2 linked regions of the Arabidopsis thaliana genome follow. The protein of the gene in region 2 interacts with the protein of the main gene of each other region in a biochemical or structural test. Each region holds a gene or a part of one and is shown on either strand. Other genes may lie near its edges. The genes, in order: SWI3C and BRM.

Region 1 (9,683 bases), on a different chromosome or scaffold from region 2:
TATTTTTACCCCATTTAAGTCATGCAACTGTGGCTATAACCCCTTCTATACAACACTCTTTCAGCTATTCGATATAGTTGCGGAGGCTGACAGTGACATAACAGACATGCAAAAGGCTAAGATCTGCAAATGTTTAGCTGAAACTGATAAGGTAAGACTTTCCCGTACTAATTTTCCTTACTTGTGTCTCTTTTAGAGCCTCAAGTGAGATCAATTACCAACATCTTGACTCAATTATATTACGGGTTTTGAGTGAAGTTCACATCTTAGATTTTTGCCATTTGAATCTGTAGATATGTTGCAATCTTGCTAAGGATGTCTCTGTTACCTCTAGTGATAATAAAATATCTCACATCTTTTATTTTTAATGTATCCAGCGACTTGTAGACGGGGCGGATGAGTACTTGCAGCTTCTGGATGTGGCAAGCAGTACAATTTGTGCCCTCTCAGAAATGGCTCAAGACTTCTAATGCAAATTCTGCTTGAATTGGACCTGTGCCTTAAGACTTATGAGACTATCATAGTGTAGGTTTTGATAAAAAGTTGGAGCGTTATGACGTTTTACTGGTTACTTATCTGTTATTGTTTTAAGAAAAACTATTAGATATATTTATTGCATCATTACTTAAGTCTATTTGTTTTGTGGGTAAGATCATTAAATATCATTACAATGTGAAATACATGATCGAATCAAAATAATTAACATCTCTTATAACCAACAAAATCATGACCAGATAGCTTGATGGACATTGCTTCTGTTGTAAGAATTAGTGAATCCCTTTATCTATATCCAATATTGACACCGTAAAAGGAGTAATGTGTTTCTTTACTAGTTGGATATATATACAGTGTAGATCCCAAAATGTAAATATAAAAATAAAAAATATAGTAGATTTATATAATTATATTTTTCTATTTATTACCTCTAATAATCAAAATAGTAAAATCCTACGAAAATGTAATAAAATACAAGAGGATTAATATACATATCCACATAAAAGGAAGATTCGGATACACATCCAAACTATAGAAAACATTAGTAATGCCATAAATAAATAAAAATGCTGTCAAGACACAAAATTCGTTGAATGTTATAGTCTTCACATAAAACTGTCATAAATCTGGATACGTTCTAAAAATAATTGATCTAATCTAAATCTATAAGTAGTTTCTTATTAGTAGAATCCTTATGAATCTTAATTTGATCAAGACAGAAACGCTTTTGTTTACTTTTACCTAATGGTCGATGGTGACGATTCTTTCAAGAGACCCGGAGCTGTGCCTTTTAAGTGGGAGATCCGACCCGGTGTACCTAAAACCCGACCCGGTGATGATGATCCAGCTCTTCTTCAACCACCTCCTCCTAACAAACTTCCTCCTCTCAAATTAAAATCAACTCCGCCGTCGAATTCGCCATCTCCGTCGTCTTCTTCTTCTTTCTTCTCTGAATCCAGAAGCCGACCAGTCTCTCCCTTCGCTCCTCCTCCGTCTTTCAAGCTGAAATCGCCTTCAGATTCCGACTCCAACTGTTCAGCATCTCCGACTCCATATTTCCGATCTTCTTCTCCTCGTGCCGGTGGCTCATTGCCTCGGTGTTTTTTTCCCAAGTCATTATTTGGGTTGAAAAAGAGTAAGAGCGGCGATTTAAAAAAGACCGGTCAGCAGGAACCATCATCAACAACATCGGAGTCTGACAATTTCTATGAATCGGGAACAACGCTTTCTCCGTCGGAAGAAGATTCTAGCCAGGGATCGCCGGTATCTTCGAGGTGGAGTTCGCCGAAATCGTCCTTCTCTTCTCGCCGTGGTTCGCCGCTAAAACGGACTGATTCGGATTTAAGCTCTTATGAGAAAAAAACCATGTTAATGATAGCTCGTTCCCGCCTTGGTTAAATGGTTAGGCTTAAAAAAAAAAAAACATCTTAGAGATTAATCAAATAAAAATGATTTTGAGTTTTTCATTGCGACAAGAACGAATATGTTACATGTAGATTTGTAATGAAATTGTCTATATATTATCGTCAAAATGAATCGAGTTAAAAGACCCCTAATGTTTGAAGAGTAGAGAAATGGTTGTGGGAAAGAGAGACATTAAGATTGGTGACTGTTTTAATTCACAATGATGATGATGATGGTTTGATACTACAAGACACTAACTTGGAACAAGACTACGGTCTCAAAGCCAAATAACTTATCTTTAAAAATAACAAGGTGAAATAAATATGGATACTGATAAGCTAAATAAGCTAGAGAAAGATGGATCTTAGTTTAAGCCTAAGCCGGACCCTGAGCCTGAACCTGTGGAAGACCTAACCATCGGGTGACTAAACGAAGGCTGGTTGATCGATGCTGCTCCAGCTGCTGCAGGGTTATTTAGTTGGTTGTTGCCAAACATGACGTTTGGTGAAGCTGTTGATCCTGCATTGGTCTGTATTGCATTGAGAGGTAATCTCGGGCCAAACGAGAAAGCTTGCTGTTGTTGTTGTTGTTGTTGTTGTTGTTGTTGTTGTTGTCGTGCCATGAAATGCATCTGTGCTTGAACTTGCGGGTTGTTGCTGAATCCTGGGATTATGCTTGGTTGAGAAGTTGCGGAAGCTTGTTGTTGCTGATGTTGCTGATGCATGAGAGAATTGATGTTGTTACCACCTGTGGATAGAGACATGCCTTGGAGATTATTAGTCTGTGGAGAGATTCCTCCAGGAGATCCAAATCTTGCTGAGAGCATACGAGCCCGTTCTGCAGAAAATCTCTGACGGGTTTTCTCTACTTGTTCGCATTCTTTCATCAACAGTGTTTCAATTTCTGCGAACTGCTTTAATTTCAGCTCCATCCTCTTCAGCTGCGGTTTTTACTCAGATCAGCAATAAACACTATACAACAAAATAAATCAACTACCTACAGTAATTCTCATCAGCAACTGGTTCTGCTATTTTACCTGGTGATTAACGATATTAGCAGAAAGTCTCTGGATTTCGCGTTCCTCATGATCAGCAAACAATTTTGCTTTTGTTGCTGCAGCTGATAGACCGGCTCTAAATGCTGCCATAACCTTATCCTGTGGCAGTGGAGTCTGCGCTTCTGCTCCGTTTTGGCTTGATGTTTTGTGTGCTCCTGAGTTTTTTTTACAATTAAAGCATGTTGGTGTCGCAGATTAGGTTAAAACAAAAGAGCAAAGAATCACTGTAAAGAGAACAATCAAATAACTTCCTTACCATCTTGCTGTTGATTTTCTCCATCAAGCAAGCTGGCTTCTTTCCCTTGCATTCCCTCAGATTTCATCCTAGATCAAGAAGTTTCAGAATAGTCCATAGTATTATTAAACTGAATCACACTACAGAGAATTTATATTGGATAGAGACTATATAATACACTAACCTATCGTCCTCAGATAAAACCGAGAGGGATTCATGGGCACAGGACGCAGCAACTCGAGGTCCAACAGCTGATGCCAAAAATGCAACCTAAAATATTTTGGTATCAGGATCCTCATATCTCCAAACTTATGTGCAATACAGGACCATTCTCCACTCAAAATATGCATACAATTGAGCTCTCAGATATAATCGATTCATGGATCAGAGATATCTCTAACTGGTGAGATCATAAGGATAATAAGAAGCGCATATGAAATCTGCATCGGAAAAAAGTTCACAAACCAATGCCATAACCGGATTCGGAGACTTCACAAATGGAAGCTTGATCTCAGTGTCAGAACCTTGCTCGGAATATCCTGCAGACGCAAGCGGACAATTAGTATGGCATGTCAAAGGAAATAACTATGGAAAGTAATTCATTGCTACAAATTGAATAAAACAAAATCACCAGGTAAATCCCCATTTGAATCTGTTCCTTTGTGGTCATATCCATTTGTAGGGTTTTCCGTATTAGTTACACCAGAAACCTCAACATTATCTAATAGACCATCCTCCACAGGTAATCGAAGAAAATGAAGAATGCATTGAGCTTTTGACTTGGAACCAACATGATCAGCAATTTGAACCCAATTTTCATTGTAGAGTTCCACAGCTTCAAGAAGCAAGAGAGTTTCCTGATCAGTCCAATTGTCTCCATCTTGATCGCCATAAAATTTCATTGGATCCACTCTTACAAAGTCAAGACAAGAATGTCCAACAACAAATCTTCCATGGTGAAAACAATCACAGCATAAGAGTATATCCCCCTGTAAAGTAGAGATGAAGATCCTTTAGTTAGAAGCGGTCCAGTATCCGAGACAGTAAGCAAGATAAAGCTTGGAGTCTATTACATCACTGGGTGCAAAAAAGAATCAGATAATGATACACAAAGAACAGTACGTAAGGGGAAGCAGCCTAAGAACCTTCTTTTGCGATTGGAAGTACACAGTTGGAAGCGGTCGAGAACAATGGTTGCAATGACTATCACATAGGTGTTCACGAATTCTGATGTCCAAGTCAGGGCTGTCACCATCCAAACTTGGCAAGGATGAATAGACTTCACCCCCCTTGTGTCTACAGTTGGGCTTGTCAAATTTGATCAAACTATCAATAGATGTTAAAGCAGCAGACGGCACATTGACCTCGCCATTTGTGTCCTCCCTCACATCCGATACATCTCTCAAAGGGCCAGGATGTGACTGGGCAGTGGCACAGTAATTGATTATTCCCCAGTGATCAAGAAAACGGAAAACTCGTGCAAAATCTTCAATGTCAACACCATCTACCAATCCTTGGCAATCAGAAATCGTCAGTGTCTTTTCAGGGTTCTCTACATATTTGGAAACAATGGCGTTCCTGAATTCCATATAACTTTCGGGTGTATGATTTGGCGATTTCCCAGAGAAAAACTGTGGCACCACTTGCCTTTCAAGTCGATCTACTGTGTTTGGTGCAAACCAATCTGCTCAAATGTAACAGCAAAAGTAGAAGAATAAATTCGAGCATTGGGAACAAAAATATCAGAAAATAAAAATAAAATAAGAGGAGAATCTCGATATATTTGAGCCATAGGACTCCAGGAACAAAACCCAAACGAATTAGAAGAACATCACTTGCATAGTCTATTCAAGTTGTACTTCTGAGATAAGACACCTAAGGCTACTTCAAGCCAGCAGGTACTCTAATTTATCATGTACAAAAGTTATAATACCTCTTCCTTTCCATCAGACAGAACATGGGAACATAGAGAAACATCTGATATGAAATTGAGTCGCGTTCAGATTAATGTAAACTAAGAACCAGGCACTAGACAAAAGGAAGATAAGAACTTATACGTTAAGGAGATACCGGCATACAAACCTGTTTTGACTAATTCTCATTCCAATCACAAGATATATACTACAATACTACCAACCAGCAAAAGCTGATGCTGCATAAAGCCTAACCTCTAACATAAATGCGCGTATCAAGAGGAAGAAAAAACACACCTGAATGCATAGGCAAGACATGAACCAGATCCCCAAACCGTTTAACAACTCCTTCTCCATCCATAATAGGTGGTGGAGAGATAACATAAGCCGAAGACGATCCATCACTCCTCTCAAGATCAAGAGAATCAGCAGGTACAGTAGATAACGCTTGCAATTGCCCAAACGAAATGTTCTCCAGAGCTGGAAGTGAACCTTGCCCTCTAGTCTCCCCTATCAAACCAGCTCTCTCAGCCGCCACAACAGCCATTACAGACGCGTGTGGCCGGATCACAACACGCTTAACCACTGCCGGGAAATCAGAGATGCGCGAACCAGAATCTTCAACTACCTCGCCAATACCAAGTCCCGGATCGGGAGTTGCGCCGCCGTTTTGCTGAAGCTCATCGGCATTTTCAACGTCATCCATTTCTTCGTTGTTGTTGTTGTTATTCTCTTCGTCTTCTTCCTCCATATCTTCCTCCTCTTGTTTCGGTTTCCTCGCCGCCGATAACCCCCCTCTCTTCTTCCTTTTCCATTTCCCTCTTCTATCTGCGACAGAATTGTAAAAAGTGTAATTCAATTCACACGAATTCTCGAAATACCCATCACTACGATCTATGTGGGTAAGTCAAATCCCAATTTAAATTTGGATTTTGAGAGAGATAAAGATGTGAAACAGCAATTTACCTTCAGAAGCTGGCATTTTTGTGGATGAAGATAGAGAAATAGAGGTTTTGGGTTCTGTGGAATCGAAGCAAGACCCTTAGTAAAAAGAATTGCTTTCTTTGTCTTCTCTCCTCCGAGTCGTTCTGATTTCCAGCTCTCGAGCTAAACACCAAACCTTTTTCTCGCAATTTCTTTCACCATTTCCTTCATTAATCTCTATATATTAATTCATTCTCCACGACGACCTAACCTTCTCGACAAACAAGAGGGTTCTGATTTCGAAATTCAAGCTTCGTTGACCAATCCAAATTTTGGTTTAACTTCGGTTAAAGTCAACTTTACTTCGGTTTTATTTTTCAATTTTGAATGAGAAAAACCGAATCAATTATTTAGTTCGGTTCTTAAAGTTCAAATTGGTTAAACCGGTTTAAATTGATACATTAGTCGACCGTCGCGCATTAATACTGGTGTGGTGGTTCCGTTAACGAGCAACGGCGATGAAGAGACCTCGACCTACATCTCAGCCGTCGATCTCTTCCACCGTCAAACCACCACTGTCTCCGCCGGTCACACCGATTCTCAAACAGAAGCTACACAGAACAGGAACACCTAAATGGTTCCCGTTAAAACTAACCCACACGGAGCTGACGTTGCCGTTAACTTTTCCGACGGGTCAAACATTCCGGTGGAAGAAAACTGGAGCGATTCAGTATAGCGGAACGATTGGGCCTCACTTAGTCTCTCTTAGACAACGTCCAGGAGACGACGCAGTTTCCTACTGCGTCCATTGTAGCACAAGCCCTAAATCCGCGGAGCTTGCGTTGCTCGATTTTCTCAATGCTGAGATCTCGTTAGCTGAGCTATGGTCTGATTTCTCGAAAAAAGATCCTCGTTTCGGAGAGCTAGCGAGACATCTCCGTGGCGCTCGTGTGTTGAGGCAGGATCCGCTCGAGTGCTTGATACAGTTTTTGTGCTCATCGAACAATAACATTGCGAGGATTACGAAGATGGTGGATTTTGTTTCGTCTTTAGGGTTACATTTGGGTGACATTGATGGATTTGAGTTTCATCAGTTCCCATCATTGGATCGATTATCTAGGGTTTCTGAGGAAGAGTTTAGAAAGGCTGGTTTTGGTTACAGGTGATTTCATCACTCTCTAATGGTTGCATTATGTTGAATTAGACATTTAGGCTAAAACTTTGCTTGAAGCTTATACTTTTATTTACTCTGTGGCTATACATTCATAGAATTGAAGCTAATGTTTGGTCTAAGCTAGATAATCATTGTGTGGCCGTTTCTCTGATTGGTTCTGATCTCATTTGAAAACTCTCATTCTGGTTTATCTTGTGGTGAGCAGAGCCAAATACATAACAGGTACAGTGAATGCTTTGCAAGCAAAGCCAGGTGGTGGTAATGAATGGCTTCTTTCTCTGCGCAAAGTCGAACTCCAAGAGGCAGTTGCTGCGCTGTGTACATTACCTGGTGTTGGTCCGAAGGTAGCAGCTTGCATAGCTCTGTTTTCTCTTGATCAGCATAGTGCTATTCCGGTTGACACACATGTCTGGCAGGTAACAAAGTCCATCGGTTTCTATGTATTGTACTTACTTAATTGAGATCCAATTACATAATGGTGATGATGACTTCGGGCAACTTTTTTTTTGTTCTGTTTTGGATAATGGATCAGATCGCAACAAATTATCTACTGCCAGACCTTGCTGGTGCAAAACTGACACCTAAACTCCATGGCCGAGTTGCAGAAGCCTTTGTGAGTAAATATGGTGAATATGCTGGTTGGGCTCAAACATTGCTTTTCATTGCCGAGTTACCTGCACAAAAAACTCTCTTGCAATCGTTTTCCCAGCCCATTAACAAACTGGATGAGTCTGCAGAAGTTAATGAAACTAGCTGTGATACGTTGAAGCCATGACTATGTGTCTACCTAAGCTACGAGGAATCGTTTTCACAACCCATTCTTGATGCGTCAAGTCCAGAAACTTGACCTTGGAAGAGCTAAGAAAATTCTGAAGCTGATGCAGTATTTGGCTCCCTGGCAAATGAGCGTAGTTATTTGTTATGATCATTGTTTACTAAGGAACCAATCTTGATATGTACTTGTAACTTTACATTCAAACTTCCAAATTAAATTCTAATTGTTTGTTCCCTTTGCAATTCTCTTGATTTGAAATGAGAATTTTTTCCTTTTATCTATTTCTTTTGTCAAAAAACAAAACTAAATTTCGTCGAAATTAAATTTCTATAAGAAGCCCAATAAAGCGAGGCCTAAATTAGGCCCAAAATACTATTGGAGGCGAAAAAGAAAGTCCGGCTGGATTTTCCTCCAAGCCACCGTCGACTTTACTTAGTACTCCCTCTCTCTCCCCTCCTCCTTCCCAGATTTCGTCTCCGTTCTGAAAAAAACTCCAAATTCTACTCTGAAACCCTAAGTTTCCGATGTCGGTAAGTTTGATAATTCCCAGTTAATTTTAATTTCGGAGACCTCAGCTCTATTAGTCTTACGCATCAATGGTTTAATAGTGACTGAACGATAAAATTGATTGATATTTGTGGCGATGCAGATCTTCGAGTACAATGGAAGTGCTGTTGTTGCTATGGTAGGTAAGAATTGTTTCGCCATCGCCAGTGATCGGAGACTCGGTGTTCAGCTACAGACAATCGCCACTGATTTCCAGAGAATCTCCAAGATCCACGATCGTGTCTTCATCGGTCTTTCTGGTCTCGCCACCGATGTTCAAACACTGTAAACTATCGTGCAAGCTTCTAAATTTTTCATATTTGTTTGTTTTTACATTTTGAAGTGAACTGAGAAGATTTTTTTTCCTCTTTGTTTTGTCTTTTGATGTTTGAAGATACCAGCGCTTGGTGTTTCGTCATAAGCTTTACCAGCTTAGGGAAGAGAGAGACATGAAGCCTGAAACTTTCGCTAGTCTTGTCTCAGCCATCCTTTACGAGAAGAGGTCAGTGTGCTTGTGTTGTTTACTTATGTAGCTGTATTAGTTACCTGTTGATTTGCGATGCTGCTTCTGACTCTAGTTTTAATTCTGGTTAGGAATGATTTGCTTAGTTTGTCTCTGAATCATGATTTAGAAAGATAATCAGATTGGTTGCTTTATTTCAGATTTGGTCCTTACTTATGCCAACCTGTGATTGCTGGCTTGGGAGATGATGACAAGCCTTTCATTTGCACGATGGACTCTATCGGAGCCAAGTATGTTCACATCTATTCTTGGTTATAATCTCTGATTTGTATGGACGATTTTCGCTCTTACATGTTAATGTCATTAGCTTGGTTAGTGTGGTCTGTATAGTCTGTATAGTCCTTGAGCTAGATGTCTTGTGTATGTTATTTATTTTGCTTTTGGTTTTGGACTTGTTGTACTTAAGAAGTACTGTTGCATTTTATTTTATTTTATTTTGTTGATATAACAGGGAACATCTAATAATAGTTGTTCTCTTCGAAATGCAGAGAGTTAGCTAAAGATTTTGTTGTATCTGGAACTGCTTCAGAATCACTCTATGGAGCTTGTGAGGCAATGTACAAGCCAGATATGGTTTGCCCGCTAACAACCTCATCATCTCTTGTTATATTTCTAAATCCCGACAATGAAAATGCTT
Region 2 (7,944 bases):
ATTCTTTTGAGCCCTAAGTTTTTCATCGTCTGGATCAACTCTAAGAGTTCCAGTCGCTTTAATCCAATCATAAACGGCACTCTGAATAGCAGACATTCTACATCGTAAGACTACAGAAACCTGCAACCCAAAAGCATAATCAGAGGAAATATCTAGACGGAAAATAACAGCAAAAATATAAGATAGATCCTACCTTAGCAGGAAGTGACCCTTCCACATCCTCAACACGGCGTCTGAGCATGAATGGCTCTAAAATTTGATGAAGTCTGTGAATGACTATGACCTTTTTTTCAGTCTCCAGCCAGTCATCTTCTATATTATGCGCAGGACCTTCTTTTTGAAAGGGTTGCGCAAACCAATCATGAAATGCTTTTCGATTGTCAAAGACATCAGGAAGGAGAAGGTTCAATAGTGACCAAAGCTCTTTCAGATCGTTCTGCAAGATTTAATAAAAGCAGGATAAGAATAGTCAAATAATGTAAACAGCTTATACAATCTTGGTTTCCATTTGTTATATGTCCTGATTTATGCCCAAGTAGCTATACAGCTATTACCAACCTGCAAAGGTGTTCCAGTGAGAAGTAATCTCCTCTGGCAGCGATACCGGTCAAGATCTCGGGCCAAAACAGATTCTCTGTCCTTCATCCGTTGTGCTTCATCAATTATAATATATTTCCAGTCAACTTTTGAGAGTTTTGATCGATCATACATAATGAACTCATAAGTCGTAACGAGGACATTGAACTTCATGGCGCAAACCTCCTGTTAAAGAGAACAGGGGATGTATCAATTAACGTCTTCAAAACATCTGGAGCAAAAGAAACTTTTTCAAATTTTACCTGAGAGAACAATTTTGAACGTTGATCCTTTGTACCAACATAATATATGCATGAAACAGATGGCAGCCAAGTATGGAGTTCACTCTGCAGAAGAAAACCCATTGGACTTTAATCAGGTACCAGAGAGAAGTCAACGAAAGATAGCAAAAAAACTTATACGTATTCTAAAGAACACAGAAGAGTTCATCAACAGGATATGGCCATGTCAGCGCAACTAACAGCTAGTTAGCTAGAGTCAAAGTTAAGCTTAGATAATGGATATAAGAGGCTTGTGGGTTCTCGCGGAACTGAGTGAGATAATTATGAGTTGGGAGACTTGGGGTCTCAAATACTCCCTTGGTTCTAAGCATTGATTCTGTGGAAAATCATAAGAGAGTCTATCAGAAACACAAACCTTCCAATTCACCAGAACAGCATTGGGAACGATGATGAGATGCGGTCCATAATTCCCTTTAAACTCCATAAGGTAAGCAATCAGTGCCATTACCTGTACAAAACAATTAGTATATTATGATAGGACAATATAATAATTTATTGGTCACCAAAGGCGAAAGAAAAGTAAATCCAGGAATCCCTGCAAATCGGGAACAGATTTAACCTGAACAGTTTTTCCAAGACCCATCTCATCAGCCAAGATCCCGTTTAATTTGTTATTATACAACGATAGCATCCATTGTAATCCAACCTGATTGGCACAGAGCAAAAAACCTTAGAAACCATCAAAACGTGGCATGACAGTGAGAAAAAAGCAACAACATAGAGTATAGATGGAGGAGATACCAGCTGGTAATCACGCAAAGTTCCAGCCTGAAGCATTGAAGGTTGTCTTACAACCACTTCATTTACAGCATGAGCCAGAGTATAGTACCTAGAGTTGGACATAACAGAGTTAGACATCACCCACGGCGCCTATTCCTAATCTTGTGATCTGTAGAATTCTCTCACATATGGATGTGCAGGATTATCAGCATTTTACAGATAAGCACATACTTTTTAAGTATTCAGCTGCATTGGTAATTATGAGTTACAACTAGTACTTTGCTAATTCCCTATTTTAATCATTTTTTGTGTGACTAATGCCCTTACTTGTTGACAGATGAATTTTCTTTTGGCGCATTCATTTCCGTAAATCTATTTCTGATCACAACTTCTTCTCGAGCACAAGTAGCTGCTGCCCTGACCTCTTCTTCTGACAACCCCTGCGTCAAAAACGGAAACAGGTAAGGTACTATATATCCACTATACCTTTGAAAAGAAAAAGTTCTATTTTCTGAAACACGCAAAAGTCAACATTTAAGTTAAAGTTTGAAGAATTATCTACAGAGTGTAATGGATATTCGCTGTGGAGTAGAGAAAGCAGTATGTATACCTGCAATCTCGCTGCTACTGCTGCAGCATTTGCTGCCTCCTCCACTTCCTGTTGATTTTTTGTGGCAGTAATCTTACCTCCAAGTTTATGAAGATAATCTTCGGTTTGGGTCAAAAATGAAGAGAGAACAGCATATCTTTCAGCAGCATCACCAGGCATATTAGTTTGCTGTTCCAGCAACATCTCCCTGTATCTTTCTACATCATTATTCTTCAAGGCCTCCATCCTTTTGTTGCGGCCATCATCTTTTCTCTTTGAAAACTCTCTCAACATCTTTTCATGGTATTTGGCCACTCCCCTGTTACGAGCAGTGCGTGCATCACGTATAGCCCAATGAGCCTCAAGGAGTTTCTTACGCCACTGAAAAATGGTTTTCAGCTGCTTCTCTCTGACAGCTTTCTGATTGGCCAGTACTTGTCTATTCATTTCTAGGCGTTGCCGTTCGCATAACCTCACAAATTTGCGGTACGGCCTATCCGGCATGGACATTATCTCCTGTTGTTGTCGATCTACTTCCTCTCTAACACGAGACTGAAGATCAGATAGCCTAAGCTTTTTCTCTTCAATTTGAAGCCGTAAAACAAGATCAGGCCTAATCCTTTTCCTTTCTAAATTTTTTGCTAGCAGACCATTTATCTTCTTCAAACTGTCTGTTCTTTTCTTACTAAGGAACTCTGCACCTTCTTCACAAATCAGATCTTTAATATCATATGCTAATGTGAGATTGTTATTGGCATTGGCTGTTGCAGACCCATAAGAGTCAAGTTTTCGAGTGAAAAAGGGAAAATCAAACAACGGTCCATAATATTTCCTGGCAGAGGCTGTATCCTTGGGCGGCTGGGGAGAGTTTGCTTGTGGAGGAACCTTAGATTGGCTTCCATCAGATGCAACAGCCTTTCCCTTATCAGCTGTAGAATCACTTCTAGGATTCTTTTGAGTACTAGAATCTGCTCCTTGGTCTGACTTAACAGGGAATACATCAGTCTGTTGCTCCTCTTTCGTAGCCACGTCAGTAGAAGTAGCTTCTTTTCCCAGGTTTTGAAATAATTGGCTGTGGCCTGTCGTCAAAGCTACTTCTGTATCTCCAACATTATCTTCCTCTTTAGAAAAAATTGGTCCATTTGAAGAAGCAGCAGCCTGAGACTCCTTGCCACACTCTAGCGACCTTGCTTGGTCTTCTCCAGTTTTGTCTGAAGATCTATCCTGAACTTTCCCTATGGCAGGAGATATTTGCCTCTGCGTCTGTAGTTCAAGCGGTGGTGGAGAAATAGCTTGAAGAAGCTCCGGAGGCAAAGAACCTTCCCCTTTCTGTCAAAAAAAAGCAATTAAAAACATTCAACCTGGCTTGCAGACACGTTATTTATAGGCATACATCTCCAGCAAAACATACAATAAAAATGAAGACATAAGGAAAAAGTCAGAGCTGAAAACCTTCAAACGCCTAAATGCCAGTATCTGGGCTTTGAGAACATGGAGTTGCTGTTTGGTAAATCCTGATCGCTGCTGTGCTTGTTGGGTCCCCTGTCCACTCTGAAGGGACGAGTTACTGAGTGGACCAGTATCAGATGGCGCTACTAAATTTGGAGTCGGTGTATTCAGTTGCCTAGGCTGCTGCATTTGCAAATGTTCAGCAGGACCTAAACTTTTTTTTGTAGATGCATTCTGATCCAAAACAGGAGTCTCATTTGCAGAAGTCTGCAGGGGATTTCCTGAGGGCATCCCATTTGTAGGCTGAACTAAATGTCGAGGATACATTGGATTCTCTCTCCCTTGGCCGGAGAAGGGATTCATAGCAGGATTGACCATTCTGGGACTGGAAGTCGAGGCAAATGAGCCAGTAGATAATGCATGTCTGGCCTTCGCTGATCCTGACTGCCCAGAGATATCACTAGCAGAGTTGGCATGTGGTGAATTCTCACCTGGAACAACCGAAGATGAAGCCGGCTGGCTAGAGATTGGAATAGATGGTGACTGTGAGGCCACATTGCCTTCACCAGCTTTCTGTTGAGCAGCCATTCTTGCCTGAAGGATGTGTGCCATTTGGCTGGCGTTGGCAGGATGTGAGAGATCGATATTACGCTCACGCGCCCATGCCTGCATTGCCTGCCACTGTTGTGCAAATGCGAGTTGGTTGTTTCCCATGTTATTGACAAGCTGCTGAGCCTGTGGTGCTTGCATTGGCCTTATCATATTTCCAGGCATTAGTTGTCCGGTACCCACCTGCTGCTGAGGATGAGATTTTGTTTCGTTCCTTTGCTGAGAACTTGATTCAGTCTGCCTTTCACCGCGAGCAAACTGATCGCCCGATGGCTTCGATGATGAGGCCTGGGGCTGACTAGACGGATTCAAGTCTTGCATATTCAACATTCCCATTCGTGCATCTTGATCCTTTCCCACACTTGATGAACCCACCATTCCCATCCTAGCTTGCTGCTGTGCTTTTTGATGCTGAGCCTGCATAGCAAACTGAATATACGCTTGCTGCATTGGATTAAAATTTTGCTGGCCCTCTTGGGTAGAAGAACCCTGTTGTTGTTGTTGTTGTTGTTGCTGAGGAGACTCAAAAAAATTTCTAGACTGCTGAGGCATTTGCATAGAGCCCGGAGACGAAGCAAAGTTGCCACCGCCCATCATTCCCTGAACCCCACCAGGTTGATATGCAAACATATTTTCGTTTGTATCTGAGTTTCTGTGCTGCTGCTGCTGCTGCCATATCAGAAGCACGATAATAATTAGTAACAATCAAATGAACAATAATCCACAATTCAGAGCAACTATATATATATGTGGAAATGAACAAAACATGTTCTCCAAGTGGCTACCATTACACAACTTCAATTTAAAGATATTGGTTACTTTCCTTTTACACAGAATTGATAAACAGTCAAGTCCCACTAAAATTGAATAGCCGCAAGTTTAACAGACAAACATTAGCCACTACAAACAAGCATTTTATCCCTCCTAAGTCATAACGAACCAAACAGAGACTTGAGAATCCTTTACCTGCCTAGACGCCAGCTGCTGTTGCTGTTGCTGCTGTTGCTGTTGCTGTTGCTGCTGCTGCACAGATGAAGAGGAAGAAGAAGGAGAAGCAGCGGATGACGTGGAAGCAGTCCGACCAGCCGGACCCATGGCCGGATTCCGAGCGGGCCCTCCGCCACTGCCTCCAGATTGCATGCAATTGGTCGAAGAATCTGACAGTCACTACACTGGAAACAATTAAACCCAATGCACAACGAAGCTAGTAGAAGAAGACAAAAAAAAAGTGGAAAAACCCTACCCAATAAATCCCTACAAAAGAATTCGGACAGCGAGAGCCCCCGAGGCAAAGGAAAAAACCTCAAATAGCAACAGAGAGAGAGAGAGAGAGAGAGAGAGAGAGACACTGAGTCGGTTGAAGCGCACACACCTTTCTATTTCTCTCTCTTCTTAGATTTGCATCGAATTTGGGGGAAATCGGAAAACGAAAGTCGCGGGGGATGCAACGGTATAAACTCAGATCCTTTGAGATGGCTTCTCGAAAAATAAAAATAAAAAGGGAGGGAAACGAAATCCACGGAATCGATGATCGATTCCTCTCTTTGAGAAATTCACGCAGATCAGAAATTTCTCGCAGTCAAACCCTAGCTGGCTTCTTACTTCCCTTTTTCTTTTTTTTCTCTTTCTTTTTTTTTTTGGAAGGGGCATTAATTTTATTTTATTTTTGATTGTAGGTCCCACGCCTCGATACAGTTGGAACACGGAAAATGCGTTTCACGAGGCCACCCCTCGGTTTTCGCTTTTATTACCACAAGTACCCTTCCTTATACAAGTCAGTTGCACAAATGACGATGAGACACGTGTGAATTTACCAAACGTTCCTTTTGTTAACCAAATGGAATGACTTTTAATTTTTCCATGTTTATTTCAAATATTTGTTTCCGTATTGGGTAATAAGAATACTAAAATGATACTACTATAAACAAATTTGGAAATCAAAAAAAGAAAAAAAAAAACAAATTTGGAAATCAAATTAGACTTATGTTTGTTTTACTTGATTAATTAATTTGAATTTAAAATTAGACAAATTTTGACTTTTAGTTTTACCTTCTGTAGTGCAGTAGTAGATTAGAGAGAATCATACAATTACCCTTGTTTTATTTACGGTGCAACCTCGTGTCGTTTTCATCTTTCAGCCTTGATATGCTTGCCATCTTTACGTCAATAGTTGGCACGCAGTTCTATTTTAAGATAGAAAAACGGCGAACAGTTTTGAACCAGCAGGTTCAGTTTATGTCGTTAATAGTTTTTTTTCCCGAAACAAGTAAAAAGTCACATTATTATGGTTTTGTGACTTGTGTGCGAGTTTGTAGAAGCTTTACTGATATAGAAATGCCGTTGCCGATGCAGTCTCTCTTCCTCTGTTTCTGATTCCTGAATAAATTTGTTAAACGATGGAGAAGATCGTTCGTTCTTCTTCGCTGATTCTACTTGTTGGCCTCCTTCTTTTTATGAATTTTCACGGATTTGTCCGGATCGCCGAAGCAACGAAGCGACGGATCGAGATCTCCGATGACCTAGACGACGTTGAAGACAATGAAGAAGACGAGTCATGGAAAGAGTGGGGGAAGAAAGCAACGACCCCGGAATTTGATCCGCCTCCGGATTTCACCAATATGGGATTCGATCAGATCCAAGAGGAAATGGCTAAACGGACTTTTGGAACCGTCGTCGGTTTCGTCAAGCTCCGGTTAGGCGTCCCCCGTACCAAGGTAAACTAAAATCCAAATCGAATCGTGAATTTGGGGTCCTTAAGTTATAGTTTCAGTTACTGTTCAAAATTCTCTGAATTCGATATGGGTCCAGTTGCTTCAGGGGATTGAATAGTGATCTGTTTATATGTTTCAATCAGGATGTGGTGATTGATATTGCTATGAAATGGACAAAAGTTTTAAGAACAGGAGGGATAGGAGTAAGATTCATGGCTGTAGATCGAAGCACAGTGATGTTCAATATGCAAAATGGGAAGCTTGTGACTGAGGTAAAAGCCACAGAAAACACACAATGCTGAAAACTTTGTTTAGTGGATTAGTCAAAATCTAACATCACAATCATATCTTTCAATTAGCTAAGGGAATTCGTGCTGAGCCAAGAAGAAGCTTACGAGGTCAAGATAGGGAAGCAAGAGTTTAGAAGACCTGGAGATCCTCCATTTGAAGATGTCTTTGACAAATTTCAAGCTGAGCAAAGGAAAGATCACGAAGATGGTGATGGTAACAAGAATGATCTTACTAAGGATGAATTATAGGTCACAGAAAAGCTTCTATAATGGGTAGTACTGAAAGTTCAACTCTTTTACTGAATCTTACCTAAACATGTTTGGTTTTTAGTTTCCGTTGAATGCCGTAGAATACAATAAAGAGGAAAGCTTTGTTTCTTTTCCAATGAGTATATGCACTCATTTAAGCTTATTGCTAAACGTGGAGAGCTCAATAACCTGAATCCTGGGAATGCCTGCTGCTTCAGCTCTCTCTTTCTCAGTGTTGTATCCCCAGGTTCCTGTTTTGAGATAAGTTTTTGTCAGAATAACCAATAAGGGGAACCAGAAGTGATGATATGGGAGAGGGAAGAGACCACCTAGGTATAAACTCCATTTGTCTAATTCAGGCTCTTTTATGACATTTTTCAGCGTTGCGAGTCTGTCTTCCACGAAACTGGCCAAATTAAAAATGCATAGGGATTGTAAACTAATGGTGA

Evidence for each region.
Region 1: the proteins of BRM (region 2) and SWI3C form a complex in vitro, tested with the Arabidopsis thaliana proteins (one study listed by BioGRID).

The regions. Positions count from the first base shown.
Region 1 is NC_003070.9:7,617,893-7,627,575, forward strand, and holds SWI3C (SWITCH/sucrose nonfermenting 3C), read right to left. Parts: upstream 6,275-9,683; 5' UTR 6,087-6,274; coding exon 6,071-6,086; intron 5,933-6,070; coding exon 5,402-5,932; intron 4,876-5,401; coding exon 4,337-4,875; intron 4,181-4,336; coding exon 3,823-4,180; intron 3,731-3,822; coding exon 3,657-3,730; intron 3,462-3,656; coding exon 3,376-3,461; intron 3,281-3,375; coding exon 3,213-3,280; intron 3,112-3,212; coding exon 2,936-3,111; intron 2,840-2,935; coding exon 2,264-2,839; 3' UTR 2,109-2,263; downstream 1-2,108. Other genes in the region: EMB1968 (ATPase family associated with various cellular activities (AAA)), read left to right, coding at 65-151, 431-529; AT1G21695 (hydroxyproline-rich glycoprotein family protein), read left to right, coding at 1,240-1,893; OGG1 (8-oxoguanine-DNA glycosylase 1), read left to right, coding at 6,547-7,190, 7,408-7,618, 7,735-7,977; PBC1 (proteasome beta subunit C1), read left to right, coding at 8,502-8,507, 8,627-8,808, 8,918-9,025, 9,187-9,276, 9,535-9,619. UniProt on the Arabidopsis thaliana protein: Component of a multiprotein complex equivalent of the SWI/SNF complex, an ATP-dependent chromatin-remodeling complex, which is required for the positive and negative regulation of gene expression of a large number of genes.
Region 2 is NC_003071.7:18,920,745-18,928,688, reverse strand, and holds the start of BRM (transcription regulatory protein SNF2), read right to left. Parts: upstream 6,157-7,944; 5' UTR 5,489-6,156; intron 5,413-5,488; 5' UTR 5,386-5,412; coding exon 5,212-5,385; intron 4,915-5,211; coding exon 3,640-4,914; intron 3,517-3,639; coding exon 2,209-3,516; intron 2,039-2,208; coding exon 1,926-2,038; intron 1,708-1,925; coding exon 1,620-1,707; intron 1,525-1,619; coding exon 1,438-1,524; intron 1,327-1,437; coding exon 1,234-1,326; intron 924-1,233; coding exon 840-923; coding exon of another isoform or gene 825-839; intron 763-824; coding exon 559-762; intron 437-558; coding exon 194-436; intron 121-193; coding exon 1-120. Other genes in the region: AT2G46000 (LDL receptor wingless signaling/trafficking chaperone), read left to right, coding at 6,642-6,959, 7,100-7,228, 7,316-7,495; AT2G45990 (ribosomal RNA small subunit methyltransferase G), read right to left, coding at 7,646-7,746, 7,825-7,901. UniProt on the Arabidopsis thaliana protein: ATPase subunit of a multiprotein complex equivalent of the SWI/SNF complex that acts by remodeling the chromatin by catalyzing an ATP-dependent alteration in the structure of nucleosomal DNA.